Linked DNA regions of Stegostoma tigrinum. The protein of the gene in region 3 purifies or fractionates together with the protein of the main gene of each other region. This does not show direct contact. Links are inferred from orthologs where the notes say so. Each region holds a gene or a part of one and is shown on either strand. Other genes may lie near its edges.

Region 1 (7,328 bases), on a different chromosome or scaffold from region 3:
TGGAATGATGTCACTGACAGTACCGGCAAACATATTATGCATGCTCATTTTTACACTTGCACATCTAGACCATTTTGGTGGTGTCAGCAAGTGTTCTTTGTCCACTTACAATCTTTCAATTCTGTAATCTTGTGCTATTTTCTAACCTAATTAGAACAACAGCAATCATTTGCAAACAAATGTTGCCATCTATTTTTATCAAATCATTAAGACAATGGTAGTTGAAGGCCCAAGCACTGATATTTGTTGGGCTCTATTAGCCATTTCCTTTCCAATCAAGCTCATAACTTCTAGATAGAGACACTTTCCTCCTAACAGTAGTTACTGGCTCAAAAAGATTAATTACATTAATTAGGCAAGACCTATCCTTTACAAGTCTGCATTTGTTCTGTCTAATCAGCACTTTTTTTATAGTGTCCAGTCATTCTGTGTTTAATAATATATTCGAATAAGTTCCCAACAAAATAATTGCCGAGTTTCTTTCTTTCTTTGCATTGTACGCTACAACAGCACTATTTTTCTTGCTGGCTGGCACCTCATTGAAAGTTGAAAAAATGTGTCCAGAAATGGTAACACCTGCAGTGTTCCACATATTAATACAGAGGTTGAACAATATGTACAGATTTTAAGTGATCAAGGAATGTAAATAATTTATAGGATTATTGCACCATGATATTGGCTGTCACTCAAAGCAGTTTTGATAATCACATATAATATTCCAAGATAACGAATGGGTAAAATTTGGCAAATGGAGTATAATGGGGGAAAATGTGAACTTAAGATAATAAAATGTGAGGCTGGATGAACACAGCAGGCCAAGCAGCATCCCAGGAGCACTTGTTCATTTAGACTGGAAAGATAGAAAAACCATACACTATTTAAATGGAGGTAGACGACAGAACTTGGTAATACAGAGGATGGATGTTTTGATTTATAAATTACAAATTAAGCATGCACGTTATTAGAAAGGTAAATGGGATGGTGGTACTCATTGCAAGGGGAAAGGCATGAAAGCAGAGTATGTTTAGATGCGGCTGTGCATGACATTGGTGAGACCACACCAGGAAAATGATACAGTCTTGTTCTCCTCAGTTGAAAAAGAACTGTATTAGAAGTAGTTTAGAAGTAAAACCGAGCTTGTACTCACTGAGTTGAGAAGAATGAGGGATGATCTTATTGAAATATACAAGATACTGGGGCAAACAACATGGAGAAACTCAGCAGGTCTGATAGTGTCTACAGAGAGCAAAGAAGAGTCAACATTTCAGGTCCACTGACCCTTTGTCACAACAAATGTCAATGAACTTGAGACATTGTTTCTGTCCCTACAAATGCTGTCAAACCTGCTGAGTTTCTCCAGCATTTTGTGTGTGTTTCAGATTTCTAAAATCCAATTCTTGTTTTTAAAATACTGGGGGGTCTTGATAGGGTGGTTACTGAGAGGTTTTATCAACTTGTGGGGAAGATTAGCACGAGAAACAAAGTACAAGTTTAAAAGATCTCCCATTTAAGTGAGAAAGTTTTTTTTTGAGGGCGGTTGGTCTGTGGAATCTCTTCCACTGGAAATTGTGCCACTAAATTAGGGCAGCACAGTGACTCAGTGGTTAGCACTGCAGACTCTCAGCGCCAGGGACCCGGGTTCAATTCCAGCCTTGGGTGACTGTGTGTGGATTCTGCACATTCTCCCCATGCCTGCGTGGGTTTCCTCCGGTTTCCTCCCATGGTCCAAAGATGTGCAGACTAGTTGGATTGTCCATGCTAAATTGCCCATAGTGTTCAGGGGTACGTGGGTTAGAGGGGAATGGGGATGGGTTTGGGTGGGATACTTCAAGGGGTGGTGTGGACTTGTTGGGCCAAAGGGCCTGTTTCCACACTGCAGTTAATCCAATCTAATAAATATAAAATTTATCAAAGGCTAAATTAAAAAGATTGACACACATCCAAGGTTTATGGAGTCAGTCAAATTGTGAGACTGAGACCCCAAAATTATCAGCCATTGTTCCAAACGGAGAAATAGCCTCGAAGGGCCAAATGACCCAGTACTATGTTTCTTTGTCACGTTATTAAAAATGGTCAAATCTGGGTGGTTTTCTTCAAAAAGGCTCTATAGATTGTAAATTGCAAATTTCTTGAAATATCAATGAGGTATAACTGCACACTAATTCAAGCAGTGAATTACAAAAAGTATATAGAATAAACACTAAAATTACAACAGAAACATGTCTGTTGACATTTAGTTGACAAGGACCATAAGTCATGCTCACATATGTCCACTCTATTCTTGTTTATCTCTCTTCCGTCAGCTTAACATAATGAAAAGATTTCCAAAACTCCATCTTAAATCCGTATCCTGAACTTCTCAATCATTACAAAATGCATTTCATCTGCTCTTTGTTAATAATCTAATCATCCAATACTCCTGCCCAATCATTTAAAAATGTGAATAGGCTGCAGTAAACTTTTTCTAAATAGCGTGATGTACAAAAATTGCAAGGTGCTCGAACTGCATACTAAGAGTTTATACCAAATTGTACTTGACTATGTGTTACGCAGTTTGCCTTAAAGCCACGTGCTCGTACAAGTACTAACTTAGGTGATTGTGAAGGGGCTTGGCGCAGTTCAGGTTGGCTATAAAAGTACTTGCTCTTTCTTTAGCCAGTTTCAATACATTACGATCCGGTTATTATATCTCACAAGCTTTCCCAGAGCGAACAATGTACCCAATATTGGGGCGTCCACAACTCGTGGATTCCACCCCGGCTCACCTTTCGCTGGATCTTAAATCGCTTGTGGCATGTCAGGCGCTTGCTCGCCTTTTTCAGCTCTGTAAGGAAACGCAACAATGAGGGCAATGAATCGAAACAATACTAACTCCTGCGGATAAAAAAAAGAATGTAACGAACAGTAAAGACTACAATTCCACGCCACACAACTCACTCGGCCGCTTCATACCGTCCGGCTGCAAAAAGAGCAATCCACGTGACAAAGTCCCAAACGTCCCATCGCCTGCCGTAAACACACAGTGAGAGAGCACGTCAATGTCGTCAATACTCTATCCCCGACCCGCTTTACGGCTGAGCCGCTGATGCTGACGATAGGGGCATAGTTGGGTATAGGAGGAGACTGTGGATCTCTTGTTGTTATTATTATTATTTTATCATATATTCTTTCGGGATCAGCCGAGTAGGGTAAGGACGGCTTCGGTTGCTGAGTTGTACTGAGATGAGTGATGTGTGGAAGTTGTGCCTGCAGTCTTTTTCCAGTTTGTTTTTGCGTGGCTGCCAAGGTGTTTGTGAGGCTCAGGCCGCTGCTTCTTTTGTTGTCAGTCAGCTCCCGGGAGTCAAGATTTCAACCGCGCGATGGCTTGTGTCCACCTCTCAGTTCATTCCACCTTTCATTCAGCGCCTAAATGAGCTGTTTTTGTTTCTGCCCATATTGAAAGGAAGCAGATATTTTAACTTTTACGTTTAAGCCTATTTTTCGCCCTGTTCCAAAGGTATGAATGAAATGTACCCTGCCTACATCATCCAGACATCGTTGCTGGATATTCAGTGATTGAACGTACATTTAAGATGTCAAGACAATGAACTAGTATTGTTGTCAGTGGGTTTATTTTAAATTGAAATGGAGCTGCGTACAATCGGGGAATAAAATCTGCCGGTAATCCTAGGAATAGAACACTTCCTGATTAGGGGAACATGCCACATTTTTATGGTTGTTGTCATAACAACATTTTAAGCATATTTACATTTCTAAGATGGCACTTCAGTTTTTAAAAAAGTTGTCCAATTAAACCAAATTTTCCACATAGTCACAGTTTACTAAGATCCACTGGGCAAAAACGTTAGGCCAGAATTTGCTGAGAAAGTAACAGTGAATTCACTGTAAGTTATGAATTTGTAAGTAGCGCAGCTATTCATGGCAACTTTGAGATAACCTGATGTGTTGCATGTTATTACAAAATTTGCTTTGCGAAAGCAGGAGCTGGCAGCCAGCTGACCTGTGACTTTTAAGAAATTATTCTATTTGCTCTGTTAAAATGAATTTTGACTTGTTATAGAAAAGCAGGACTAGTACTAAATGGTGTAAGAACTGTTTTAATTACAAGATTCATGTTTCCACAAAGTCACCTCATCTCTAACTTTAAAAGGAAATAATTAAGACAGATGGATCTCCTCTACAGATTATAAATTGTGTTGTTTAACTTTTCCTTTTTGACTCTCTTCCACTTAAGCTTACATTTCTCTCTTCCTTTTTTTACACACTTCTGACCCATTCTATTTCTCCAAACATTGCTTTTCTTTTTATTTTTAATTCTTATCTCATTAGTTTGTGAGATAGACTGTTCATCCTGTCATTGACGCAGTTAGTCTGCTATCTTTACGGTGAGTCCATCAAATTGTCAGTACTGAAATAACTTCTTCAACAAATGTGAATGATTGACATTTATTTTGACATATCAGTATGTTATCCACTTCGATATTATCAAAATTAATTTTGAATTCAGGCAATAAACACGATGCTGCTTCCATCTATAAATTACTATCTTCCTAAGAAACTTCTTTGCAAAAAAACTCCAGAGATTTTTATGCACTGAGGCGCCCTGCATTTGAATCTATGGAAAGATTATCCGTTTCTTCAAGATGTGCACCATTATTTGACTATTTAAATTACGAGATAATTACGTCTGTAAGCTCTGGTGATACCCTGTTAAAAATGCCGGCACAATTATTTTGTTCTCTGTTCTAAAAAATGTTAATTTGTCCTCTTTGAATTTCACTGACTTAATAGTTTGGAAAGTACTGTTAACCATGTTGTCTCAATGATTAGAATCATTCAGTCCACAAAAGGCCCTTCAGCCCATCAAGTTGACCGATTCCAACTCATTACACCTGATTCTCATGCTATATGTTAACTTTAGTACAGTATCTGCTGGTAAAAACTTTAAATATGAGGCTGCCTAATATAAATCAAAACATTTGGCTACCCCTGCCAGCCAACAGAAAGTAAAGAAAAACACCTGCATGAAGGGTTTGTTACAGGCATAGAACATTGATTTGACAGCTGCAAAACCAGTACATAAGTGGAAAGAAGTGTGCTAGTGCAGTATTTTTTTGTCTGCAGTTTATGACTGGGAGGAGGTAGGATAGAGGTGATATCAGGAGTGTTGCATTCTGATGAAGAGTCACTGAACCAAAAATATTGACTCTGCTTTCACTCCACAGATGCTGTCAGATCTGCTGCATTTCTCCAGCAATTTCTATTTTTGTTTCAGATGTTGGGAGTGCATAGACATCCCTAGCTTATCATAGAAAAATTTTAGAAAGACAAGAGAAAGGCTTTTTTTGGACAAAACTAGGACATTCAGCAGAACAAATCTTTGCGTAATAGCATGTAAACTTTCTTTGAGTGTGGCCAACCAATATAAGATATGATTTAGGATATTGTTGTCTAATTTTCCTTTTACTGTCCCTGAAAAAAAACTCCTATGGTTAAGCAGTGTATTTGTTTAGCCAATTTAATACTTAGAATCAGACAAAGTCACATGAATTGGAACAATTTCATGAATGAGACTATACTGTAAAGGTATCTGCCTTGCTACAGCTGTGTTACTTTCCCATGTGCTGTTTCTGTTCCCCACCCCAGTACCCTGTTTGTTGTGCAAGTAATAACTGAAGAATATAAAAGAAAAGCAAATATGGAAAAAGATTGGGCAAGGGTGGTGGTGGGAAACTGCCTGACAATTGTAGGAGTAAGTATTGTTTATGAGTGCGCAAGATTTGGGTATCATTTTTGTGTGTATATTTTCCCCACATGCTTTCAACTTGGTCCAGGCCTCAGAGGTTGGAAGTTTGCTCTATGACTTTAGAAAACTGAAGTTGGACTAGACGGACTTTGCATATGAATCGGATGACCTTTTGTCCTAATGTGGTGTTTCCAAGTGAGCACTTTATGTTCTGTTAGATTGTATTTTTACAAGTTGTATGTTTGTCTATGGCATAACCTTAAATTGCTTAATACTGCTATTTGATACTGTTAACTTTAAATCAATTATTGTTTGTGCCTTGAGAAAATATGGAGAATGGTTCCAGGGTTTTCCTCTGATGAAAAGGAGGGAAAAAGTAAAATAACGCAGATGTTTGAAATTTATGATAGAAACAAAACAATTCTAAAAGAAGACAGCTTCAGATTCAACAGCATCTGTGAGAGAGAAAGCAAATTTATGTTTTAGCTTGATGACCTTTTCATCAGAATGAAATTTCATTGACCTGAAACATTAACCCTGTTTGTCTCTACATTAATGCCAACTGACCAACTGATTATTTCGAGTGCTTTCCCTTTGATTCTTGGAAATAAATAAATTATGTTTGTTGGTGACTGGTCATAGATTTATGAAGCGATGGCTATCCTTTCATGAATAACTCAAAGAAAAATCACAATTGCAGTCTGTTGCTTGAAACCTATAATGTAAGCGTCAAATCTACATGGCTAACATCCCATACTTCCTTGTTTTCATCAATGTGGGATAGTCTAGTCTAAAATTTAAAAAACGACAGCTTACTTTGCCTGTCCCATTGCTGAAGGAACCCTTTAATTCTTGAAGTCACCATTTTCTTTCCTCTAAATTTACATATATTTACAGTCTGCTGTTTGATATTTATGTGAGACTTTTACATTAAAATTATTACTTTTGCAGCTAAACTTGATACTTATAAAAATATTCAATGTAATTGTAATAATTCTATTTTATGTATTGTGTTACCAAAACTATTTTTCACAGTTTATCCTCAAGATGTTGGCCATGCTAATGGCACTTGTGAAGATGCTTCTTTGAAACTCTGATGATGGCACTTCCACAATGGTCTTATCAAATCTGATAAAAGAAAGAACCAATGGAATTACTTAGTGAAAACCCATGCATATTTTTTGAGGAATACAAATGAAGCCCTTTATTTTACACGTGTCATTTCATTGCGTATAATATTGGACTCCATCATGCACTGTAGCAGAAATGGAGGTTGGTTAGCTCATTAGGATGGATAGTTTGCAGAGTGATGGCAACAGCAGGGGTTCAAATCCCGCACTGGCTGAGGTTACCATTAAGGACTGTCCCTCTGAAACTGAGAAGTTGTGTTCCTTAGGTTAAACCACCACCAGTTGTTGCTCTCAAATGAGCGAGCAGCCCTGTCGTCCTCTACAATTTTGGCAACTTTACTTTTGCTTATTATAGAAATAAAGACTTCTCTGTTGGGTGTTTTAACACCTCTTCTGGCTTCTATCAAACTTTCCCCTGCATAATGTAGCAGAGGTTGATGGTGCTCTGCATC
Region 2 (7,039 bases), on a different chromosome or scaffold from region 3:
TTGCATTATTTATTACCACAATAACATAACAAACAGAGATTATCACTTGGAGTGCATTAATTGAATCTGTGATGCATCAATTATAAGATTTTTAAAAAGCCTCTTCTTCATAGTGGCATTGATTTAGTAAGTTTTTCAGAGAGGTCAACATTGAAGATATCACTACAATAATATTGGTATAATTTTTTTAAAAATAGGAGGACTTTGGAAAAGCCCATTAATGGGAGGGATGTTTCTGATAACTTGTGACTTTCTTCAAAATTTTTCTTAATTCTTATGTTTTTCTAAATATATTTTCAGTAATCCCTTCCCTGTAGCAAAGTTGGCCATGCAGCTAGTTTGCAATAGAGTGACACCATCAGCATGGATTCAGTTCCTACATTGGCTGAGGTTACCATGAAGAACTCGCATTCTCAGTTTCTCCTCTCCCATGGGGTGTGGTGTCCCTCAGGTTAAACTGCTACCAATCACCTCTCTCTTTCTTAGATAACAAGGTGTGGAGCTGGATGAACACAGCAGGCCAAGCAGCATCTTAGGAGCACAAAAGCTGATGTTTCGGGCCTAGACCCTTCATCAGAAAAGGGGGATGGGAAGAGGATTCTGAAATAAATAGGGAGAGAGGGGGAGGCGGACCTCCCTGTTTATTTCAGAATTCTCTCCCCATCCCCCTTTTCTGATGAAGGGTCTAGGCACAAAACGTCAGCTTCTGTGCTCCTAAGATGCTGCTTGGCCTGCTGTGTTCATCCAGCTCCACACCTTGTTATCTCAGATTCTCCAGCATCTGCAGTTCCCATTATCTCTGATACAGTTTGGAATTAGATACCTGTTCCTTCAGTATTGTTGAATTAAACCTCCTTCCCAACTGAGGGAGTACATACAATAAATAAACTGCAGCAGTTCAATAATGAGGTTCATTACCAACGTGTCAGGGACAAGTCGGGATGGACAACAAAGCTGCACTTTCATCCCTTGACAGTAAAATAAACAACTCAATTTCCCTTAGCAAATAAAATAACACCGAGAAAAACAAAACTTTAACTGTGAGTGAGTGTGTGAATCCTGAGATTGGGAATGAGCTAAACAGATAGGCATGTTCAGAAGCCCCCTACTACATGCCTCCTATTATTGTCTGTACATGTGGCTAGTTTCAACCTAAAATGATAAAATATTTATTGCTTACAGCTAATTAATTTTTATGGATGTTTTCTGTAAATTTCAAAGGTCCAGGTTCAAAACAGTGGAGGCTTTCTTTCCATAATAATTAACAATCTTGTTGTATATTACAATCTGGCAAAGTAGTGTTTGCAAAGTGTGTCATACTGAACTGTGAGCTATCTGGGATTTACGAATAGATGGTGGTTTGTCAGGGTTCATGATCACAGTTACTCACTGTAGGCTGTGGATGATTTCGAGCAATTTTCTAATTGTTTATTGAAGTAACAGCAGTTTACAGATAGTACAATATGGGTGTGTGTGCCTTGGGGAGGAGGCGTTTAAGAATGTTTTGGTGGGGGGGTAGGTGGAGGGTAGGAGATGAATGTGGGAAGGGGAAGGGGTTGTGCGGGGTGGGAGGGTGGATGGAGGTGGGGAATGGGTTGTAAACCAAGGGAAGTACGCGGAGGTGGTTGGTGTGGGGTGCTTTGGGGTGTGTCAGGGTAGGTGCTGGGGTATATGAGGGTAAGTTGGAAGGGTGGACAGGGGGTGTGTGGGGGGGGAGGGGGATTGTGAGGCAGATGGGGTGTGTCAGGGTGGGTTCAGTGGGGTGGTGTGGAGGTGGGGTCTATGAGGGGGATCCGTGTGGGGGGAGGGCGGTTGTGTGCAGGGGTGTGGGTGGATTCTATGTGGGAGGATGGGGTGTATGTGGGGGAGGTGGAGTGCATGAGGGTGGGGGGGGGTTGGGGATGTGTGAGGACATAGATTGTGTCAAAGGAAGAGATAGGTGTGTGCGGAGTGGATGTTGTGCATGTATGAGGCAATGGGTGTGGGGTTGTGTGCGGGGAGGGTTGGTGTGGGACTGTGTGCGGGGGAGGGGATGTAGAGGTGTATGTGTGGGGGGTGGATGTGGGGCTATATGGAGGGCAGAGGTTGTAGGGCGGTATGGGGAGCGGGGGGTGTTGGTTGAGTTGTGGGGCTGTGTGGAGACGTGTGAGGGGGTGAGAAGATGTGTTCGGGGAGGGGTTGTGGGTGGGGGATGGGTGTGAGGCTGTGTGTGTGTGTGTGTGTGTGTGTGTATGTGTGTGGATGTGGGTATGCGGGGATTTGTGTAGGTAAGGGTGTGTATGGGGGGTGTATGGGGGTTGTGTGAGGGAGTATGGGGAGAGTGTGTTCGTTGATAGGGGGATGTGGGGGTTGTCTGATGGGGTATGTGTATGTGGGGGGACGGGGTGCGGGCAGGGTGTGTGTGTGGGTGGGGAGATGTGGGAGGTATGTCTGTGGAGGGGTCTGTGTATGTGGGGGGAGGGGTGTGGGGAAGTTGTGTGAGGGGATGTGGGGAGGGTGTGTGAGGGGGTGTGGGGAAGGTGTGTCTGGGAGGTATGGGTGTGTATGTGGGGGGAGGGTGTGTGAGGGGGTGTGGGGAAGGTGTGTGGGTGAGGGTGTGTGTATGTGCGGGGAGAGTGTGTGAGGGGGTGTGGGGAGGTGTGGGTAAGTGTGGGAGTGTATGTGGGGTGAGGGTGGGTGAGGGGGTGTGTGGGTGTGTATGTGAGGGGGGAGTGTGTTGGGGGGGTGTGGGTGTGTATGTGGGGTGAGGGTGGGTGAGGGGGTGTGTGGGTGAGGGTGTGTATGTGGGGGGGAGGGTGGGTGAGGAGGTGTGTTGGGGGAGGGTGTGTGGGGGGTGTGTGTGAGGGGGTGTGGGCAAGGGGGGTGTATGTGAGGGGGTGTGGGTGAGGGGGGTGTGGGTGAGGGGGTGTGGGTGAGGGGGAGGGTGTGTGGGGGGGTGTGGGTGTGGGGGAGGGTGTGTGAGGGGGGTGTGGGTGTGGGGGAGGGTGTGGGTGTGGGGGAGGGTGTGTGAGGGGGGTGTGGGGGTGGTGGGGAGGGTGTGTGAGGGGGTATGTGGGTGAGGGTGTGTGTGTCAGAGGGGGGGTGTGGGTGGGGGGGAGGGTGTGTGAGGGGGGTGTGGATGGGTAGAGGGTGTTTGAGGGGGGTGTGGGTAGGGGGGAGGGTGTGGGAGGGGGGGTGTCGGAGGGGGGGTGTGGATGGGGGGGAGGGTGTGGGAGGGGGGGTGTGGGTAGGGGTGAGGGTGTGGGAGGGGGTTGTCGGTGGGGGGGAGGGTGTGTGAGGGGGGTGTGGGTGGGGGGAGGATGTGTGAGGGGGGTGTGGGTAGGGGGGAGGGTGTGGGAGGGGGGTGTGGGTAGGAGGGAGGGTGTGGGGGGTGTCAGGGGGGGGTGTGGGTGGGGGGGAGGGTGTGTGAGGGAGGTGTGGGTGGGTGGAGGGTGTGTGAGGGGGGTGTGGGTAGGGGGGAGGGTGTGGGAGGGGGTGTCGGAGGGGGGGTTTGGGTGGGAAGGAGGGTGTGTGAGGGGGGTGTGGGTAGGGGGGAGGGTGTGGGAGCGGGGTGTCGGAGGGGGGGTGTGGGTGGGGGGGAGGGTGTGTGAGGGGGGTGTGGGGAGGATGTGTGGGGAGGATGTGTGAGGGGGGTGTGGGTAGGGGGGAGGGTGTGGGAGGGGTGTGTGGGTAGGAGGGAGGGTGTGGGGGGGTGTCGGAGGGGGGGTGTGGGTGGGGGGAGGGCGTGTGAGGGGGGTGTGGGTAGGGGGGAGGGTGTGGGAGGGGGGGTGTGGGTGGGGGGGGTGTGTGTGGGGGGGGTGTGAGTAGAGGGGGAGGGTGTGGAGGGGGGTGTCGGAGGGGGGGGTGTGGGTGGGAGGGAGGGTGTGTGTGGGGGGGGGGGTGTGTGAGGGGGGTGTGGGTAGGGGGGAAGGTGTGGGAGGGGGGGGTGTGGGTGGGGGGGGGGGTGTGTGTGGGGGGGGGTGCGTGGGGGGTGTGAAGAGGATAGGGGTGGGGCGTCTATGTGACGTATTTGTGGGCGGGGTTGATGGTTCCCGCCTGCTGCTGCTCCGGCTGTTGGAGATCACGTGGCGAGCGGTCGCAGATAGTGACGCCAATGAGCAGAGGCGGAAGTGACGGAAGGCGAAGATGGCGGTGGCGGTGGAAGAGCTGGTGGCCGAGGCCGAGCGCTTGATCCGGGTGGACCGGCCTCTGGAGTTGGAGCTGGACCTGGGCAACCTGACGGCGCTGGATGCCAACCCGCTCAATTCGAGCTTGTGCCGGCAGGAGGCCGAGGCTTGGCTGCGCTCCCTTGCCCGGGACAACACGCAGCTGCTGCTTAACGCCGTCTGGCAGCTGCCGAGCGAGAAGCTCCAGGAGGGGATCGTGGCCTTGCTGCCCCCGCCCAGTACCCTCATCCCCCGGGAAAAAGCGGTGCCCAAACCCCGGCCGCCTACCCGCTGGGAGCAGTTCGCCAAACTGAAGGGCATCCGGAAGAAAAAGAAGAGCAACTTGGTGTGGGACGAGAGCAGGAAAGAGTGGCGCCGCCGCTGGGGCTATCAGAGAGCCAACGATGAGACCAAAGAGTGGGTCCTGGAAGTACCCGAGTCCGCTGACCCCAGTGAGGATCAGTTCGCCAAACGTGTCGCGGCTAAGAAAGAGCGAGTGGCCAAGAACGAGCTGAACAGGCTGCGGAACATCGCCAGGGCTCAGAAGCACAAGGTGCCCGGTGTCGGTCTGGCCCCCACCCAGCAACAGAGCAAAGCCGAGCTCAGCAAAGCCATTCGCGTGGCGAGAACCTCCACCGCTTCGGTTGGCAAGTTTCAGGACAAGCTCCCCAAGGAACAGGAGGCGAGGAACACCGGCAAGAGGAGGAAGTTCCAGCCCATCGTCGGAGACTTCTCGGCGGAGAAGCAGAAGCAGCTAGACCTTCTCAATGTTATGTCCAGCAAGAAACCCAAACTGGATCTCACGAAGGCTGTCAATAGACAACTTCGAGAAGACGATCAGGAGCAGGCGGCAAAACGAAAGAAAATGCGGCCTAAGGGCAGGAAAGGAGGGAAAAATCACAATCGAAATAATAGGGGAAAAGGTCAGCATCGGAAATCGGGGATGAAGCAGCAAGGAAAGAGAAAATGAGCCATATTGAACTGTTGTTAAATACGGTGCTCCTTGATTTTAAAGAACATTCTAGTTTTGAGAGGGCCTACCTTTGTTTCTTTATTAATTGTGGCCTGATAATTTCTTGCGTTCTGACAGTTTTTTTGTTTTTCATGAACTTAAAATAAAGTGTTTTGTATTTCTTTTGCTATGTGCATCTGAGTGACTATATGTGATGGGACTTGTGCAGAGAGAGCTTAAATTGTACCTGTGGCCAATTGTTTGTATGGCAGAAAGTTCATTACCAGAATTGTCTAGCCAGCAATCCTGTTGACCACTTTGAAAGGGGATTCATTGAAATTATTTTATGTTGTAAGACACTGCATTATGATTAGCAACACAACTAAATGTTGTTAATCTTTTGGAACAGTAGAGTATGTAAGGAAAGCACCAAACCTTTCAATGTGAGTTGGCAGCTCAGTTCCAGTGTGGAGTGGCCTTTTGTCCTCAGGTTAATTATGTCTATGGTTATTTGAAAATACTTGTAGATGACAACTTTAACTCTCCTCAAAGTAAAGGAGCAAATTACTACAGATGTTGGAATCTGTAACTGGAAACAATAAAATGTTGGAGATCATGGTGGGTCAGGCAGCATCCATGGAGACAGAGCAAGTTAGCATTTCAAATCCAGAGCCTCAAAATAGTCTCTCTCTCTGGAAATCCAGTCCATGAGTTTATAGGTTATGATTTCTATCTCCAACAAATAGAAAGGAAGAACTTGTATTTCTATAGTGCCTGCATATATCATCGGATCAAAACCAGTATATTATTTTTTTAAAAACTGTGAATGCTGTAAATTAGAAACCAAAGCAAAAATTGGTGGAAAAGCTCAGTTGGTCTGTCAACACCTATGGCGAGAAATTGGTGTTAACATTTGGGTCCTTTGATACTTCCTCAGAACTCCAGGACCAAAAGGTTAACACTGATTTCACAAGTTCTGCTAGACCTACTGAGCTTTTCCAGCATTTTCTGTTTTTGACAGTATTTAAGAAATTGTCTTCACCAGTACTGACTGTAGACTGTCGTGTACTCTAAAGGTATTCCTGTTACTAAACTTGACTATAGCGTATCAACTGTTTTTGTAAAGTTGTTTTATTTATCGCTGTAGTACCTCATTTGGAGTTTGGGATTTTTGTTTTACACAAATTGCTTGTGTAGCTGAGTATGCAAATAATATATTCACTGTAAAACCCCTTATAATGCCAAAGGATAATGAGGCAAGTCTTGAAATTTTCAGTTCACTTTTCAGTTCACTTTTCAATTCAGTTACTCCTGAATTGTATCCTTTGGTTGTCAAACATATTTATAAAGCATGAATTGCAGTCTGGGGTTAAAATATTTTGAAGCGCAGCAAGTTTTTCTTTTCTATAAATTATACCATGTGGAAAATTAAGAACTATAGGTAATGTAAACTGACAAAATGCCGGAATACTGTTTCAAAATTAACAGCACACCAGAAGAAAGGTAGCGATGTCCACGTAATTAAAACAGTTCTGTTTAATTTCACACCTGACTCCCTGGTTTACATCTTTTCAATTTTCTGACATTTTGCTTGTTAACCATTTACACAAACTTTTTTCCTCAATGGGATTATAAGCAGGTGAAAGAGCAGACCATTTGAGCCGGCATGGAAAATGAGTATAATCTTCAGAGCTCAATGACAGGGAAGTTTGGTGAATGGGAAAGGAAATGTTTGTTATGGGCCCTTTCCATGCAGTAACGATGGGGTCTCGCTGCACTACAGGGAGAAACGTTGGTTAGTTTCTGGTAAACAGTTGAGATCCACTGTTTTCTTAAAATTTAACATAGCATACAAATTGTCGGTAAGTTAAAATATGTAACGCATCAAATTAATAAAGTGGTTAATTAAATAATTAAAACCCATTAGGAATGATAGGACAAG
Region 3 (7,859 bases):
ATCTACATACTGTGTCAGGAAGCCCTCCTGCACACACTGGACAAAAACTGACACATCTATAGTACTCGAACTATAGTGTTCCCAGTCAATATTTGGAAAGTTGAAGTCCCCCATGGCAACTACCCTGTCTCTCTCACTCCTATCGAGAATCATTTTTGCTATCCTTTCCTCTACATCTCTAGAACTATTCGGAGGCCTATAGAAAACTCCCAACAGGGTGACCTCTCCTTTCCTGTTTCTAACCTCAGCCCATACTACCTCAGTTGACGAGTCCTCAAACATCCTTTCTGCAACTGTAATACTGTCCTTGACCAACAATGCCACACCTCCGCCCCTTTTACCATCTTCTCTGTTCTTACTGAAACATCTAAATCCTGGAACCTACAGCAACCATTCCTGTCCCTGCTCTATCCATGTCTCTGAAATGGCCACAATGTCGAAGTCCCAGGTACCAACCCATGCTGCAAGTTCTCCCACCTTATTCTGGACGCTTGTGGCATTGAAGTAGACACACTTCACACCAACGTCTTGCTTGCCAGTGCCATCTTGCTTCCCTGAAACTTTATTTCGGACCACCCTACTCTCAACCTTTTCTATAGTCGAACTACAATTTTGATGCCCACCCCCTGCTGAATTATTTCACAGCTTTACTTTTTGCTTTGTTGTTAAGTAGATATTGCGATGATTTGAGACAGAGATGAGGCAAGACACGGAATTGTTGGCAAATTGTATCTGCTATCACATTCAGAGGAATTCTTTGTGGATAGACTAGCCAGAAAGGGCCTGTCTATGTTGTCTCTTCCCCTCTGCATTATCCTGATAGCTGATGCTAGTTATATTCAAAGTGCACATAGAGAAGTCATTACGCCCACTGAATGCATGTCAGGACTCAGCAATTGCGACAATTTCATTTGCTCACTTTATCCCCAAAGTACTCTACATCAATTTTTTCCAAGTGCCCATCCAACTTGAAACCATTGATCATTCTTGTTTCTGTACTTATTTTATACAGGCAGACTGCCTAACACCACCCTTTAACTCAGTAGGAAGCTGTACATAACAATAACATTCCACTGACTATTCGGGACACCATTCATCCTTCCAATCCTGCTACATTGTTTACACAACTTTAAATTTGTGCACCATAAGCTAGTTTTGCTGTCCTCTACCCAGTTTCTAAACCTTTCAATCATCCATTTGTCATCAAAATGAGCCCTCCTGAGACATCCTGAGTGGAGAATTCGTTCCCCCTGGGTTGTCCTACCCATTTCACATACCCATCTATTAATGTTCATTCAGAGAAATTATCAGATCATAAATCAACAAACAGAGCATACTGGCCCATATGTCGGGAGCACCTTAGCCCCTCACTGTGATTTCAGGATCTGTGAAAATTATTCTTTAACTCCTGTCGATTTGCTGTCCTCCATTTGTACATACGCACCAACAGATTAAAGAACAGCTTCTTCCCCACTGTTATTAGCCTGCTGAATGGACCTCTATAATTTCAAATCTATTGTTGATCTGGCTTCGTGTACCTCCTGTGCAGCTGTGACCTTGCGTGTCTCGCTCTGTCTAAGCACCCTATGATCTGTGCGTCTTTGTTGGCTATGATCTGCCTTTATTGTTCACAAAACAATGTACTTTCACTGTACTTAGTTACATATGACAACAATAAATCAAACCAAATCAAAGTCAGCAAAGAGGACTTTATTATTCATTCAGCAACCTGCACTCCCAGGGATTGTTCATCAAAATTAATACTTTGCTGTGGTAGAGCTGCTTTTAATTTGTATGACATGGGAGCACAGTGTCCTAATTATGGAAAGCAGTCTCAGGGATCTTTAATGTGTCCTGCTGGCAACGAGCAAGAGGAGAATCAGTTTATCCCTACTGTTTTGAAATGGTCTGTGAACCACATTCAACAGTGTGAAAACTTGGGTTATATCTGGTGACAGTATTTTCAGCCCAAAACTATAGGCTAAAGGACTGGCACTGACTGGTCTGTTACTGAATGGGATATCATTGCGGTAATGAAGGAGTATCTCAAAACAGGGTTCTGAATTCAGGTTGACAAATTCAACACAATACTGAGGGTGTGCTGTGCTGCTGGTGAGAGGTAAAAACAAGATTTTCATTCACATGCAGATGCTAAACATAAAAATAAATTAGATTAGCTCTTAAGTGAAAGGATCTTCAGCTGACAGCCTCCCAGATCACCCAGAGGGTGTGCGATCCCTCACACCTGGCTTCTATCTCCTTCCCAAAATCAATAAACACGTCTGCCCATTGTCTCTGCTTGCTCTTGTCCCACAGAAGTCATCTCTTCCTACCAGGACTCGTTTTTTTTTTCCCCTTGTCCAGTCCCTTTCCCTTACATCCACAATTCTTCTGACACTTTACATCAGTTTCAGAATTTCCAGTTTACAGGCTCCGGTCACCTCAGCTTCACTATGGACGTGTAATCCCCTTACATTTCCATTCTCCATCAGGATGGTCCCTGCTGGAAAAAAGGCCTGAGCTGTCCCCATTCACCACCGCCCTCCTCTACCTGACCAAGCTCTTCTTCATTCTGAACAACTTCTCCTTTAACTTCTCTCACTTTCTTCAGATCAAAGGCTATGGGACCTGCATGGGTTCCACTTATGCCTTTCCCTTTGTGGGGTACATGGAATGTTCCTTGTCCAATCTGACAATCTCTGACTCCTTCGTTCTCTTCCTCAACTTGTCTGATTCCATCTCTGGCAATCAGCTGGCCACTTATATCTATTACAATCCCATCGATTCCCACAGGTGCCTAGACTTTACATCCTCACACCCCATATCCTGTAAAGACTCCAACTCATTCTCCCAGTTTCTCTATCTTCATTGCCTCTATTCTAATGATACCACTTTCTATAACAGGGCCTCAGAAATGTACACCTTTTTCCTCAGCTGAGAATTCCCCACCATCATAGTTGACAGGGTCCTCAGCTGTGTCTGACCCATATTTCACATTTCGGCTCTCATCTCTTCTCTTCTCTTCTCTTCCCTCCACAATGTCAATTGTGTCATCTTGGTCCTCACTTTCCACTCAACTAGCATCCACTTCCAAAGGATCATTCGCCACCATTATCCTCTTAGGGACCCTGCTGCCTTCAGGGCATAATATTGAATTGAATAATTTCAGCACCTGAGCAACCTCTCCCATGTTGTTCCCTCACGCTCACACAGCAGGCCTTGTCATCATATCGGCTACGTTCACCTCAGACAGTCCTGGGAGGCAAAGTGGTTAGCACTTCTGCTTCACAGTGCCAGCAACTTGGGTTCAATTCTACAATCAGAAGACGACTGCACATGTGTATAGTTTGCACATTCTCCCCTTTTCTTTCCTTTCGATGCTCTGGTTTCTTCGCACAGTCCAAAATGTGCAGGTTAAATGATTGTCCATGCTAAATTGCATGTAGAGTCCAGGGCTTGCAGGCTAGTGGATTAGCCATGGAAAATCCAAGACTCCAGGAAAAGAATCGGGGATGCATTTGGGTGAGGTGATCTTCATGGAGTCAGTGTGGACTCAATGGGCCAAATGGCCTGCTTCCACACTGCAGGGATTCTATGAGCCTATTTTCACCCACCATTGGGCCCCATCTCACGGGCTCATCATTGCCCATTGCTGTCACAAAGTTGCCGGAAAAGCTCAGCAGGTCTGGCAGCATCTGTGAAGCAAGAAAACAAGAGTTAACATTTCAGGTCCTCACACCCAGTTCTGAGGAAGGGTCATCGGACCTGAAACGTTAACTCTGATTTTCCCTTCACAGATGCTGTCAGACCTGCTGAGCTTCTCCAGCAACTTCTGTTTTTGTTCCTGATTAACAGCATCCGCAGTTCTTTCGGGTTTATCTGTCCCATGCTGTTTTCCCTCTATCTGGACTCTGGCTATCTTCTACACCTTCCCCTCCAGAATAGATATAAACCTTTCCATGGACTTTTGAAGGAGGGTCATGTTGAATCTCTGATACAACGAGGTGTGGGGTTGGATGGACACAGCAGGACAAGTGGCATCTTGGGAGCAGGAAAGCTGACGTTTCGGGCTGAGACCCTTCATCAGGAAAGGGGGATGGGGAAGGGTCTAGGCCCGAAATGTCAGCTTTTGTGCTCCCAAGATGCCACTTATCAGAGATAATGGGAACTGCAGATGCTGGAGAATCCGAGATAACAAAGTGTGAGGCTGGATGAACACAGCAGGCCCAGCAGCATCTCAGGAGCACAAAAGCTGACGTTTCGGGCCTAGACCCTTCATCAGAGAGAGGGGGATGGGGGGAGGGAACTGGAATAAATAGGGAGAGAGGGGGATGGGGTGAGGGCCTAGTGATGAAGGGTCTAGGCCCGAAACGTCAGCTTTTGTGCTCCTGAGATGCCACTTGTCCTGCTGTGTCCATCCAGCCCCACACCTCGTCATCTCTTGTTGAATCCCTGCTTTCTCTCTCTACACATGCTGCCAAACCTGCTGAGCTTCTTCATGTTTGTTTTAATTCACGTCCACGTGCTGGTTAACAGTGAATGCTAGTTAATGGTTAAGGTTTATGTTAGTTAGTGATTGGAGGACAATTAATAGACGCTGATCTTTACCTGGCAACCAATTGGGCGGGAGAACCAGGAGAGAACATGCCCTCTGAGCTCATTGGCTGCTCGGCATGAACGCCCCTCCGGATTGGCTGGTAGGCGGCCAATAGAAGCCCGGGGTGGCAGCGAGGCGGCCAACTGGAAGTCTGGATTGGATGCACGGCAGTTAGAGACTCCAGGATTGGCTGTTGCGGACACCCAATGGGAGACCCTAGCAGGCGGCGACCTGGCCAAAGGCCTTCGAGAACGGCCGCACGGCGGCCAATGGGAACGCGGATTACTGGCACGGCGGGCCGGATAAGAGGCGGCGTCACGTGATCGCGGGCCTCAGTCAGCGGCGGTGCGGCAGGATGGTGAGTTGGTTTGCGCGGCGGAGAGGCAGCAGCTTTGTGTGGGTGGGGAGGCCTGAGGCGACGGTCAAGCCCCACCCGGGGCCACATGGCGACGGCGAGTAGGCCTAGGGTCCGGGTCAGGCCGCGCCTGATCCGCCCCATGTGTGCGGAGGGAACTTGGAGGCCCTTTGCGAAGGAAGGGCCCGCTGGAGACAGTCCAGGGAAGTTTGAGCCGCCTCATACCAGGTTTGGAGAGATCCCGTTGTGAGGAGAGGTTGAGCCTTTACTCATTAGAGTTTGGAAGAATTAGGAGTGACTTTAGTTAAATGTACAGGATTCTTAAGGAAGTTAAACAGAAGACTGCGGATGCTGGAAATCTCAAACAAAAAATGTCTCTGGAGAATCCTAATAGGTCTCGTGGCCCCAAGCAGCATCCCACACCCCTGTAACCCGAATGTAATGGCCAGTTAACCCATCCAGACTGCCTACCGTGGGTAATTTAGCGTGGCCAGTCCACATCACCCGAGCATCATTGGACTGTAGGAGGAACCCAAAGCTGGCACTAAGCCCGGGTAATAAAATGTGAGGCTGGATGAATACAGCAGGCCCAGCAGCATCTCAGGAGCACAAAAGCTGACGTTTCGGGCCTAGACCCTTCATCAGAGAGGGGGATGGGGGGAGGGAACTGGAATAAATAGGGAGAGAGGGGGAGGCGGACCGAAGATGGAGAGTAAAGAAGATAGGTGGAGAGAGTATAGGTGGGGAGGTAGGGAGGGGATAGGTCAGTCCAGGGAAGCCCGGGTCCCTGGCACTGTGAGGGTAATCACTGAGCCGCCATGCTACACTATGCTGGCTCCAGTGACACTCCAAACAGCCCCCTCCACAGTCCGGTGATTCCTAAGCGACTTGATTGTAGAGGAATCTGCAACCGAAAGCTGTAATTTCTCAGCAACTGAAGACAAACTTTGGATTTCATTTGTCGTGAATCTGCAGTTCCCTCCTGTAGAATCTGAGCTGTTAAGGTAGTCAGAGCTGAGATTTATAACGAAGTGACTGGGGGGGAATGCAGTTATGGTGAAAATGGAGGAAAATAAGGTTCAGGATTATCGGGAGCAAATTACTGCAGATGCTGCAATCCGTACTGAAAACAATAAATGCTAAAGGCGCCATCTGACCAAGAGTCACCTACGCTTGAAGCGTTAGCTTGCCGTGATGTTTCATGGATGTTGCCTGACATGCTATGATCGCCAGTGTTATTTTTTGTTTTCAGTTCAGTATTTAGATTGGCTTGGATCTCATTCAGTGGCCTAATTCTGCTCCTGTGCCTTACAATATGGTTCAGATTATATCTCTGTGTATGTCTTCGATGGTGATGACTGTTACTGTGTCTAGCCCGCATACTTGCCTTTATTAGCCAAGGCATAGAGTAGAAGCACAACGTGGTTATAATGGAGCTGTAAATGTTAGTTAGGTCACCGCTAGGGTGCTGTGTGTTTCTGGTTGCAACATTATAGGAAGGGTGTCATTGTACTAGAGATGGTGCAAAAAGAATTCACTAGGTTGTTGCTGTGGCTGAAATGATCCAGTAATGAAGAGAGTAGTTGGCCTGGTTGCTTTCCTTAAAGCAAACTACAAATGCTCCCGTCTGAGGACAGAGGCCAGTTTTTTTTTTACTAATTCCTGCTGGGGCATTTAGCACCAGATCAGGTTCCTCCAACGCTACCTCTGATCCAGGCAGCATATAATGCACAGTAGCTCACCACCTGCGCCCAAAAGAGATTTGCTCTCCTCTTCAGACGGCAAAGGCATCGAGGCTGCATTATCTGCCGTGTCCATCTCGGATTCTGAAGTATCGTCAGTGCTTGCTGGAGAGGAATAGCCCACCAGTTCCAGAATAGTCAGAAAGGCAGTTGGGGAGCTGGGCACATTTTAATTTTGCCCTGTTTGCACGTTTGAAGTGTTCATACGGTTCTGTGCTGTACTCTTCCTGGAAGTTTGGGACAAGGTTGAAGGAACTGCACTCGATATGCATCCACAGCTTTTGTTTTATTATGCTGTTGTAAAAAGTCATGATTTAGTCTCCTAGTTACCTGAAAGGCTGAAGTCAGTAACTTGAGCAAATTGTGGAGCTGGATGAACACAGCAGGCCAAGCAGCATCAGAGGAGCAGGAAAGCTGAGGTTTTGGGGCCAGGCTCTCTTCAGAACTGGGGGAGGGGAAGGGGGTTCTGAAATAAATGGGATGAAAGGGGGAGACGGATAGAGGAAAAGATAGGTGGGTTGGGGGGGACACCAGTCAAAGAGGCAGGGATGGAGCCAGTAAGAGTGAGTGTAGGTGGGGAGTTCAGGAGGAGATAGGTCAGCTCAGGGTGGATGGACTGGTCAAGGGGCGGGATGAGGTTAGTAGGTAGGAGATGGGAGTGGGGCTTTAGGTGGGAGGAAGGACAAGTTAGGGAGGCAGGGACAAGCTGGGCTGGCTTTGGGATGCGGTAGTGGGAGAGGAGATTATGAAGCTTGTGAAGCCCACATTGATACCATTGGGCTGCAGGGTTAATACCATGTCGAGTGTTCAGGCTTGAAAACGGCCCTGACGGTAATCATCTAGCCACTCTCATTTCTCTTACAAACCAACTTGTTCACCAATTTTCTTTAGGGATTTACAGCTGCCAACATTAACTAGTCGGGCCTACATGTAACTCCAGAGCCATCGCCATGTAGTTTACACGCTCTGTGTTTAAGGGTGGACAATAAGTACTGGCCTAGCCGGTCTTCATGATCGGATATGTATAAATAAATAAAGCGCACAGCACCTGGCCGGAGAAGGTCTGTGTTAAATGTCTGTAGACCCTACAGCTGTCTCAACTGGAATATTCACTTCTGGGTGCCACACTTGAGGCAAGAAAAGAAGGCTTTGGAGAGAGTGATGA
Region 4 (7,457 bases), on a different chromosome or scaffold from region 3:
TAGTGGATAGCAAAGAAAGTTACCTCAGAATACAACAGGATCTTGATCGAATGGGCTATTCAGCCAAGTAGTGGCAGGCAGAATTTAATTTAGGTAAATGTGAGGTGCTGCATTTGAGAGGCAAATGAAGACAGGACTTATATACTGAATGTAAAGGTCCTGGGGAGTGTTGCTGAACAAAGAGACTTTGGGTGCTGGTTGATAGTTCCTTCAAAGTGGAGTCGTAGTTAGACAGGGTAGTAAAGAAGGCGTTTGGTATGCTGGCCTTTATTGGTCAGAGCATTGAGTTTAGGAATTGGGAGGTAATGTTGTGGCATTGTAGGTTAGCCACTTTTGGAATACCACATTCAATTCTGGTCTCCATGCTAGAGGAAGGATGTTGTGAAACCTGAAAGGATTCAGAAAAGATTTACAAGACCTGCAGCCCAATGGTATTAATGTGGATTCCACCAGCTTCAAAATCTCCCTTCCTCTCACTGCATCCCAAAACCAGCCCAGTTCATCCCCACTACACTAACCTGTTCTTCCTATCACCTATCCCCTCCTTCCACCTCAAGCTGCAACTCCATTTCCTACGTACTAACCTCATCCCGCTCCCTTGACCTGTCCAGGACAAGGTCTTTTCCCTGAGGTGGGAAGAATCCAAACCTAGATCGCATAGGTTTTAGGTGAGAGGGGAAAGATCGAAAAGAGGTCGAAGGGGCAATATTTTCATGCAGAGGATGGTGCCCGTATGGAAATGAACTACCAGAGGAACAGAAGGGGCCAGTAGACTTACAACATTTAAAAGGCATCTGGATTGGTATCTGAATAGGAAGTGTTTGGTGGGATATGGGACAAATGCGAACAAATGAGGCTAAGATAACAAAGTGTGGAGCTGGATGAACACAGCAGGTCAAGCAGCATCTTGGGAATACAAAAGCTGACGTTTCGGGCCTAGACCCTTCATCAGAAAAGGAGGATGGGGAGAGGGTTCTGAAATAAATAGGGAGACAGGGGGAGGCGGACCAAAGATGGATAGAGGAGAAGATAGGTGGAGAGGAGAGTATAGGTGGGGTGGGGATAGGTCAGTCCGGGGAGGATGGACAAGTCAAGGGAGCGGGATGAGGTTAGTAGGTAGCAAATGGAGATGCAGCTTGAGGTGGGAGGAGGGGATAGGTGAGGGGAAGAACAGGTTAGGGAGGTGGGGACGAGCTGGGCTGGTTTTTGGGGCGGGGGGGGTGGATTTTGAAGCTTGTGAAATCCACATTGATACCATTGGGCTGCAGGGTTCCCGTGCAGAATAAGAGTTGCTGTTTCTGCAACCCTCGGGTGGCATCATTATGGCACTGCAGGAGGCCCAGGATGGACATGTCATCTAAATGAGGCTAGATTTGTGAAGGATATCTGGTCAGCATGGACAAGTTGGATTGAAAGGTCTGTTTCCATGCTGTATATTTCCATGACTCTAAGTGGTAAGTAACATTCGTGCCACACAAATGCCAGGCTATGAACATCCCCAATAAGAGACAATCTAATCACTGCCCTTTGACATTCAATTGTGCTACAATTGCTGAATCCCCCAGTATCAACATCCTGGGGTTATCACTGATTAGAAATTGAGTTGGCCTCACCACATACAAAGTGGTGACAATACCAAGCCAGAGATTAGGAGTACCGCAGTTAGTTACTTATTTCCTGACTCCCTAAAGCCTACCCACCATCTACAAGGTGCAGTCAGGAGTGTGATGGAATGTTTCCACTTATCTGGATGGGTGTAGCTCTAACAACACTCAGGAAACTTGATGCCATCCAGGACAAAGCAGCCAGCTTAACTGGCATCAAATCCACAGGCATCCATTCCCTCCAGCACAGACACACAATAGCAACAGTGTATACTGTCTACAGATGCACTGAAGGAATTGAAAGATCCTTAGACAGCGCCTTCCAAACCCTCCTCTACTTCCATCTGGAAGGACAAGGGCAGCTGATACATTGGAACACCGCCCGCTGCAAGTTTGCCTCCATCCGCCATCCTGACTTAGAAACATATCACCCTCACTTCACTGTCACTCGTCAAAATCCAGGAATTAGGCGCCTCAGGGTATTGCGGTTAACCCACAGCACATAGACGGCAGCCCATCACATCCTTCTCGAAGGCAACTACAGACAGGCAATAAATGTCGGTCCAGCCAACGGTCCCAAACTTCCCACGTGATAATTACAAATAAAACCTCAATTCTTTGGGTAAAATGAACCTCTGCCAGTCACCTCCATTCCACAGTTTGTGGTTATCGCCATCAGAAAGTCGGGCACAGATCAGACAGAACAGGCCTTTAAATTATATCGAGCGATTCAACCCCCACCTCCCCATTCTCCCAACCCCGGACCCTCTTCCTGAGCACGGCTGCTGCTGTCATGGGAGCGATGCCTCTAGTTCAGGGTAACACACTAACCTCCAGGTCGGAATCCTCAGCGTCTGAGGCGGATTGTGGATCCCAAGCCATGCTGCCGCCGCCGCCGCCTCGCTGGTCGGACCTGAGCTGAAGATGTTCCCCGCCGCACTCACTCCCAGTGCACACGGTATACCCGTCCGGCCGGAATGTGGAAACCGCGCACAGAGTTCCGGGAATAAAGACCACCTTCCTCACAAAACCGCCGGGATACCAGTTAGTTTATTTATCCGGACGATCCGAAGTGTACCGCAGGAGTTTTCGAAAGCAGTGTGTAGATTCAAAGTGATAATGGGAACTGCAGATGCTGGAGAATCCAAGATGGTAAAATGTGAGGCTGGATGAACACAGCAGGCCCAGCAGTATCTCAGGAGCACAAAAGCTGACGTTTCGGGCCTAGATCCTTCATCAGAGAGGAGGATGGGGAGAGGGAGCTGGAATAAATAGGGAGAGAGGGGGAGGGGGACCGAAGATGGAGAGAAAAGAAGATAGGTGGAGAGGAGAGTATAGGTGGGGAGGTAGGGAGGGGATAGGTCAGTCCAAGGAAGATGGGGACAGGTCAAGGAGGTGGGATGAGGTTAGTAGGTAGGAGATGGAGGTGTGGCTTGAGGTGGGAGGAAGGGATGGGTGAGAGGAAGAACAGGTTAGGGAGGCAGAGACAGGCTGGGCTGGTTTTGGGATGCAGTGGGGAAGCCAAGCGGAGGCTTGGGGACCGCTTTGCAGAACACCTCCGCCCGGTTCGCAATAAACAACGGCATCTCCCAGTCACGAACCATTTCAACTCCCCCTCCCATTTTTTTCAATGACATGTCCATCATGGGCCTCCTGCAGTGCCACAATGATGCCACCCGAAGGTTGCAGGAACAGCAACTCATATTCCGCTTGGGAACCCTGCAGCCCAATGGTATCAATGTGGACTTCACAAGCTTCAAAATCTCCCCTTACCCCACCACATCCCAAAACCAGCCCAGTTCGTCCCCTCCTCCCACTGCAGCACACAACCAGCCCAGCCTGTCTCTGCCTCCCTAACCTGTTCTTCCTCTCACCCATCCCTTCCTCCCACCCCAAGCCGCACCTCCATTTCCTACCTACCGCCTCATCCCACCTCCATGACCTGTCCATCTTCCCTGGACTGACCTATCCCCTCCCTACCTCCCCACCTATACTCTCCTCTCCACCTATCTTCTTTTCTCTCCATCTTCGGTCCGCCTCCCCCTCTTTCCCTATTTGTTCCAGAACCCTCACCCCATCCCCCTCTCTGATGAAGGGTCGAGGCCCAAAATGTCAGCTTTTGTGCTCCTGAGATGCCGCTTGGCCTGCTGTGTTCATCCAGCTTCACACTTTATTATGTAGTACTGTTGTTAGATATTAGAAGGTCAGTTGGCTGGATTCTGGTTTGCAGCATGGAGTTCAATTCCCACACCAGCTCATGGTTGTCTTTGGATTCTCCTCCTCAAACTCTGTCTTCGTCAAAGGTAACAAGGTGTAGAGTCTGGATGAACACAGTAGGACAAGCAGCTTCAGTGGAACAGGAAGGCTACGTTTTGGGCCCACTTCACCCAAACATCAGCCTTCCTGCTCCTCTGATGCTGCTTGGCCTGCTGTGTTCATCCAGCTCTACACCTTCTTATCTCAGATTCTCCAGCATCTGCAGTTCCTACTATCTCTTCGTCTAAGGTGTCGTGATCCTCAGGTTAAGCCACCAACAGTCATTTCTCTCTACTAGAGAGAGCAGCCTAACATAAAAGTGACTTTATGGGTACATGCTGGGAACATGAAATGAAGATAACTCAAGTCAGACAATTTCCTCATCTGGGAATAAGTTACAGGTGTGACTGAATGGGGGAAGAAAAATATTTACAGCAGCGCAGTGGACTGGAAGTGTTTTTCAGATTGGGCCTCAGCATATGGCATGCCACTAGCACCATGCTGACCTAAAAAAGACTTCCATGATAAAACAGTGGAAACAGCATACAACACTGAACGATCCCACATTCAGTGTATCAGACCTAAACTCTGGGGTCCTGCCACATCAAATGGTGGTAGACAATAAACAATTAACAAGGGTTGGAAGCTCTTACCTCCCCCACCCCACCCCCCCACCATCTTCAATGATAGGGGAGTTGAGAACCTCAGTGCAAAAGATAAGGCAAAAACATTTGCATCCATCTTCAGCCACAAATGTTGGGGCCAATCCATTTCAGCTCTTTACTAATATCCCAGATCGCAGATACTAGTCTTCATCCAGAGATTCACTTCATGTGGTGCCATGTGAAATTGCTGAAGGCACTGGATATTGCAAAGGCTATGGTCCCTTACAGCATACCAGAAATGGTACTGAAAACTAGTGCTCCAGAATTAAAAATTGGTCCATGCTGAGCTATTCAAATATAGCTACAACACTGGTATTTCCCCAAAAAAGTAGAAAATTACTCTGTTATGTCCTGCGCACAAAAGGCAGGGTAGATTCAACCTGGCCAGTTACAGTCCCATAAATCTATTCTTGATCATTTGCAAAGGGGTGGAATGGGTTCTTGTCAATGATATTAAGTGCCACATGTTCAGCGATAAAAATGCTCATTGAATTGACCTTTGCCGGGGTCATTCAGTTTCTGATCTCATTGGATTCCCCCTTGGCGCCAGCATGCACATAATGGCTGAACTTGAGGGCAAGTGAGGGTGACTGCTCTTCAAATCAAGGCAGCATTATATCAAGCATCAATAAGTGCTAGTAAACACAGTAAATGGGAATGATTGGGAAAACGTAGATGAAGGGAAAGCTCTTGGCTGAGTGGTGTCATACCTAGCTTAAAGGAAGTGTTCGTGGTAGTCAAGGTCAATTATCTCAGTTACAAGACATTACTTCAGGAGTTCCTCAGGGTTGTGTTCTTTGCCCAAGCATTGTTAGCTGTTCAACGTGGCCTTCTGTTAGTGGCAAGTAACATTTACACCACACAAGTACGAGCCAATGACTATCCCCAACAGGAAGGAATCCATTTATCCTTGTTATTCAATGGCATTATTATCACTGAATTCCCTTTTATCAACAGCCAAGGAGTTACATTAACCAGAATATGAACTGGTCCAGCCATTTAAACACTGAGGTTACAAATTTGGGTCAGAGGTTGGGAATCCGAAAGGGAGTGACTCACCTGCTGTCTATGCAAAGCGTGTTCACCAACCTACCAGCCAAAAGCATGATTGAATACTGCCCACTTATCTGGATGAGTGCAGTTTCACAACAGTCAATAAGCTCAATATCATCCACGACAAAGTTGTCCACTTGATTGGCACTCCATCCACTATCTTCAGCATTCACTCTGTCCACCACAAAAGCACATCTTCAAGACATGAGGCCAATATCACATAGAAGCTCAAGGCATTAAAGTGCAGCAGAACACCACTTTCTGCAAATATTTTCATCCTGACTTGGAATTATATCACTGTTCCTTAACTGTTGTTGATCAAAATTGTGGAACTTCCTGTCCAACAGTGCTGTGAATGTATCTAGCCCTCATGAGCTGCAGAAGTTTAAGAAGGCAACTAAGCACCACCTTCTCAAGTGCAATTAATAAGGTGAAATAAATGCTGCCTTAGTTAGCAATGCCCAAATCCTGTGAATCAATTAAATAAACTCATATCCCATCTGCCTGCTCAGGTGGGTGTAAAAGATCCCATGAAATTATTTCAAAGAAGAGATGGTGAGTAATGCCTGGTGTCCAGATCAATATTGATTCTGTACTTTGTGTTCAAATAAAGATTACCTTGTATTATAAGATTGTTAATCACAATCATAAATGCTAGCAGAATATGGATGTTTGTCTGTGGTACTGAAAGAACTAAACTAGAAGCAGAAGACAAATAAAGCATTTGTTGTTGCACTTTGGTAAATATTTAGACAAATAAGTAAGTGATATTTATTTAAACATAAGAGAAAGATTTAGTCTCCAAGAGTTGTATTTGCTGCTGAGCATCTGGATTGTTAGATGGTGGAGCAGGAGCAGAAGGCAAAACATAGTTGCATTTCTGACCATTGAAGAAAAGTGGAAGATAATGTGGCAATTGTGGTGTGTGGTTACTCACTGACAAACAACTGGAACAGCACACAAGTCTCAGAGTTGGCTAATACTTTTCTATGTTGCTCACAGTGGTGTCTGGGAGATTGATCTTTCATCCCTGGCGATTGCCAATTGGGAACATTGACAACTCTAACTATAAATCTATGTAAAGTTGATCACTGTGCATGAACAAGAGTTTTTTGGCAAGTCTGAAAATTGCTTTTTAGAATTTTGATTTTATATCTCCTATTTCTACCCCTACTATTTAGATTAATATTTGAAGATAAACTTTTTCTCTTTCCTGAATATTATCTTCCAGCCCTCCTTTTCATGAAAAAAACATTCAAGTTCCTGCTGAGCTTCCTCATCGTTGAAGTTACTGACCCTGAGGGTCAGCTTCATGTCTCTGCTATGCACAGTGCTTGAATATTTCTCCTGGTGTTTGGTGATTGCTGTTGTGTGGACCCCTTGGAATCTTACCTTCACTTTTATCTATTTCAACAATTTTCCTGGCATTGACTCACCAACAAATTTTATCCTCTTTATTGCATTAAATTTCTGTGAATGTCCTGTCCACTTACGTACCTTGTCCGTTCATTCATAGAAATGAAACTGGACATCTCAAGAGTATTCAATATATGGGAAGAAACACATTGCAAATTTCAGATTGCCACCATCACAAGTGGAATTTGGATTGCTGATGGTCACCGTCAAGTCTGGGAGATGAATAATAAGAACATGGGTGAGGTTGGGGATAGGTGCCGCGTATCTGTGAAACATTTGCAGTCAGCACAAGGAAAGGAAATTGATGACAAAACAAGCGTGAAGGGTGGGAAATGTGAGATGATATGTTGAAACTGGAGGCAAATTCAAATTGCAGAGAAATGACCTAATAATCTATATGGAGGAAGAAAAAGAAGAAATGGAAAACAATAATGAACCAGCGATCGTAAGGATGGCAGATCCA

Evidence for each region.
Region 1: the proteins of nop56 (region 3) and gnl3 purify together in Homo sapiens (affinity purification with mass spectrometry; 4 studies listed by BioGRID and IntAct, with this or other methods). This does not show direct contact. The link is inferred for Stegostoma tigrinum from reciprocal best matches to the Homo sapiens genes NOP56 and GNL3.
Region 2: the proteins of nop56 (region 3) and rrs1 purify together in Homo sapiens (co-immunoprecipitation; 3 studies listed by BioGRID and IntAct, with this or other methods). This does not show direct contact. The link is inferred for Stegostoma tigrinum from reciprocal best matches to the Homo sapiens genes NOP56 and RRS1.
Region 4: the proteins of nop56 (region 3) and ebna1bp2 purify together in Homo sapiens (affinity purification with mass spectrometry; 4 studies listed by BioGRID and IntAct, with this or other methods). This does not show direct contact. The link is inferred for Stegostoma tigrinum from reciprocal best matches to the Homo sapiens genes NOP56 and EBNA1BP2.

Annotation. Positions count from the first base shown.
Region 1 is NC_081364.1:19,750,113-19,757,440, forward strand, and holds the start of gnl3 (guanine nucleotide-binding protein-like 3), read right to left. Parts: upstream 3,007-7,328; 5' UTR 2,951-3,006; coding exon 2,938-2,950; intron 2,825-2,937; coding exon 2,766-2,824; intron 1-2,765. Other genes in the region: pbrm1 (protein polybromo-1), read left to right, coding at 5,902-5,941. UniProt on the Homo sapiens protein: May be required to maintain the proliferative capacity of stem cells. Stabilizes MDM2 by preventing its ubiquitination, and hence proteasomal degradation.
Region 2 is NC_081358.1:31,723,998-31,731,036, reverse strand, and holds rrs1 (ribosome biogenesis regulatory protein homolog), read left to right. Parts: upstream 1-4,029; 5' UTR 4,030-4,125; coding exon 4,126-5,115; 3' UTR 5,116-6,642; downstream 6,643-7,039. UniProt on the Homo sapiens protein: Involved in ribosomal large subunit assembly. May regulate the localization of the 5S RNP/5S ribonucleoprotein particle to the nucleolus.
Region 3 is NC_081354.1:189,149,845-189,157,703, reverse strand, and holds the start of nop56 (nucleolar protein 56), read left to right. Parts: upstream 1-4,849; 5' UTR 4,850-4,952; coding exon 4,953-4,955; intron 4,956-7,859. UniProt on the Homo sapiens protein: Involved in the early to middle stages of 60S ribosomal subunit biogenesis. Required for the biogenesis of box C/D snoRNAs such U3, U8 and U14 snoRNAs. Part of the small subunit (SSU) processome, first precursor of the small eukaryotic ribosomal subunit.
Region 4 is NC_081361.1:65,088,566-65,096,022, forward strand, and holds the start of ebna1bp2 (probable rRNA-processing protein EBP2), read right to left. Parts: upstream 3,015-7,457; 5' UTR 2,487-3,014; coding exon 2,436-2,486; intron 1-2,435. UniProt on the Homo sapiens protein: Required for the processing of the 27S pre-rRNA.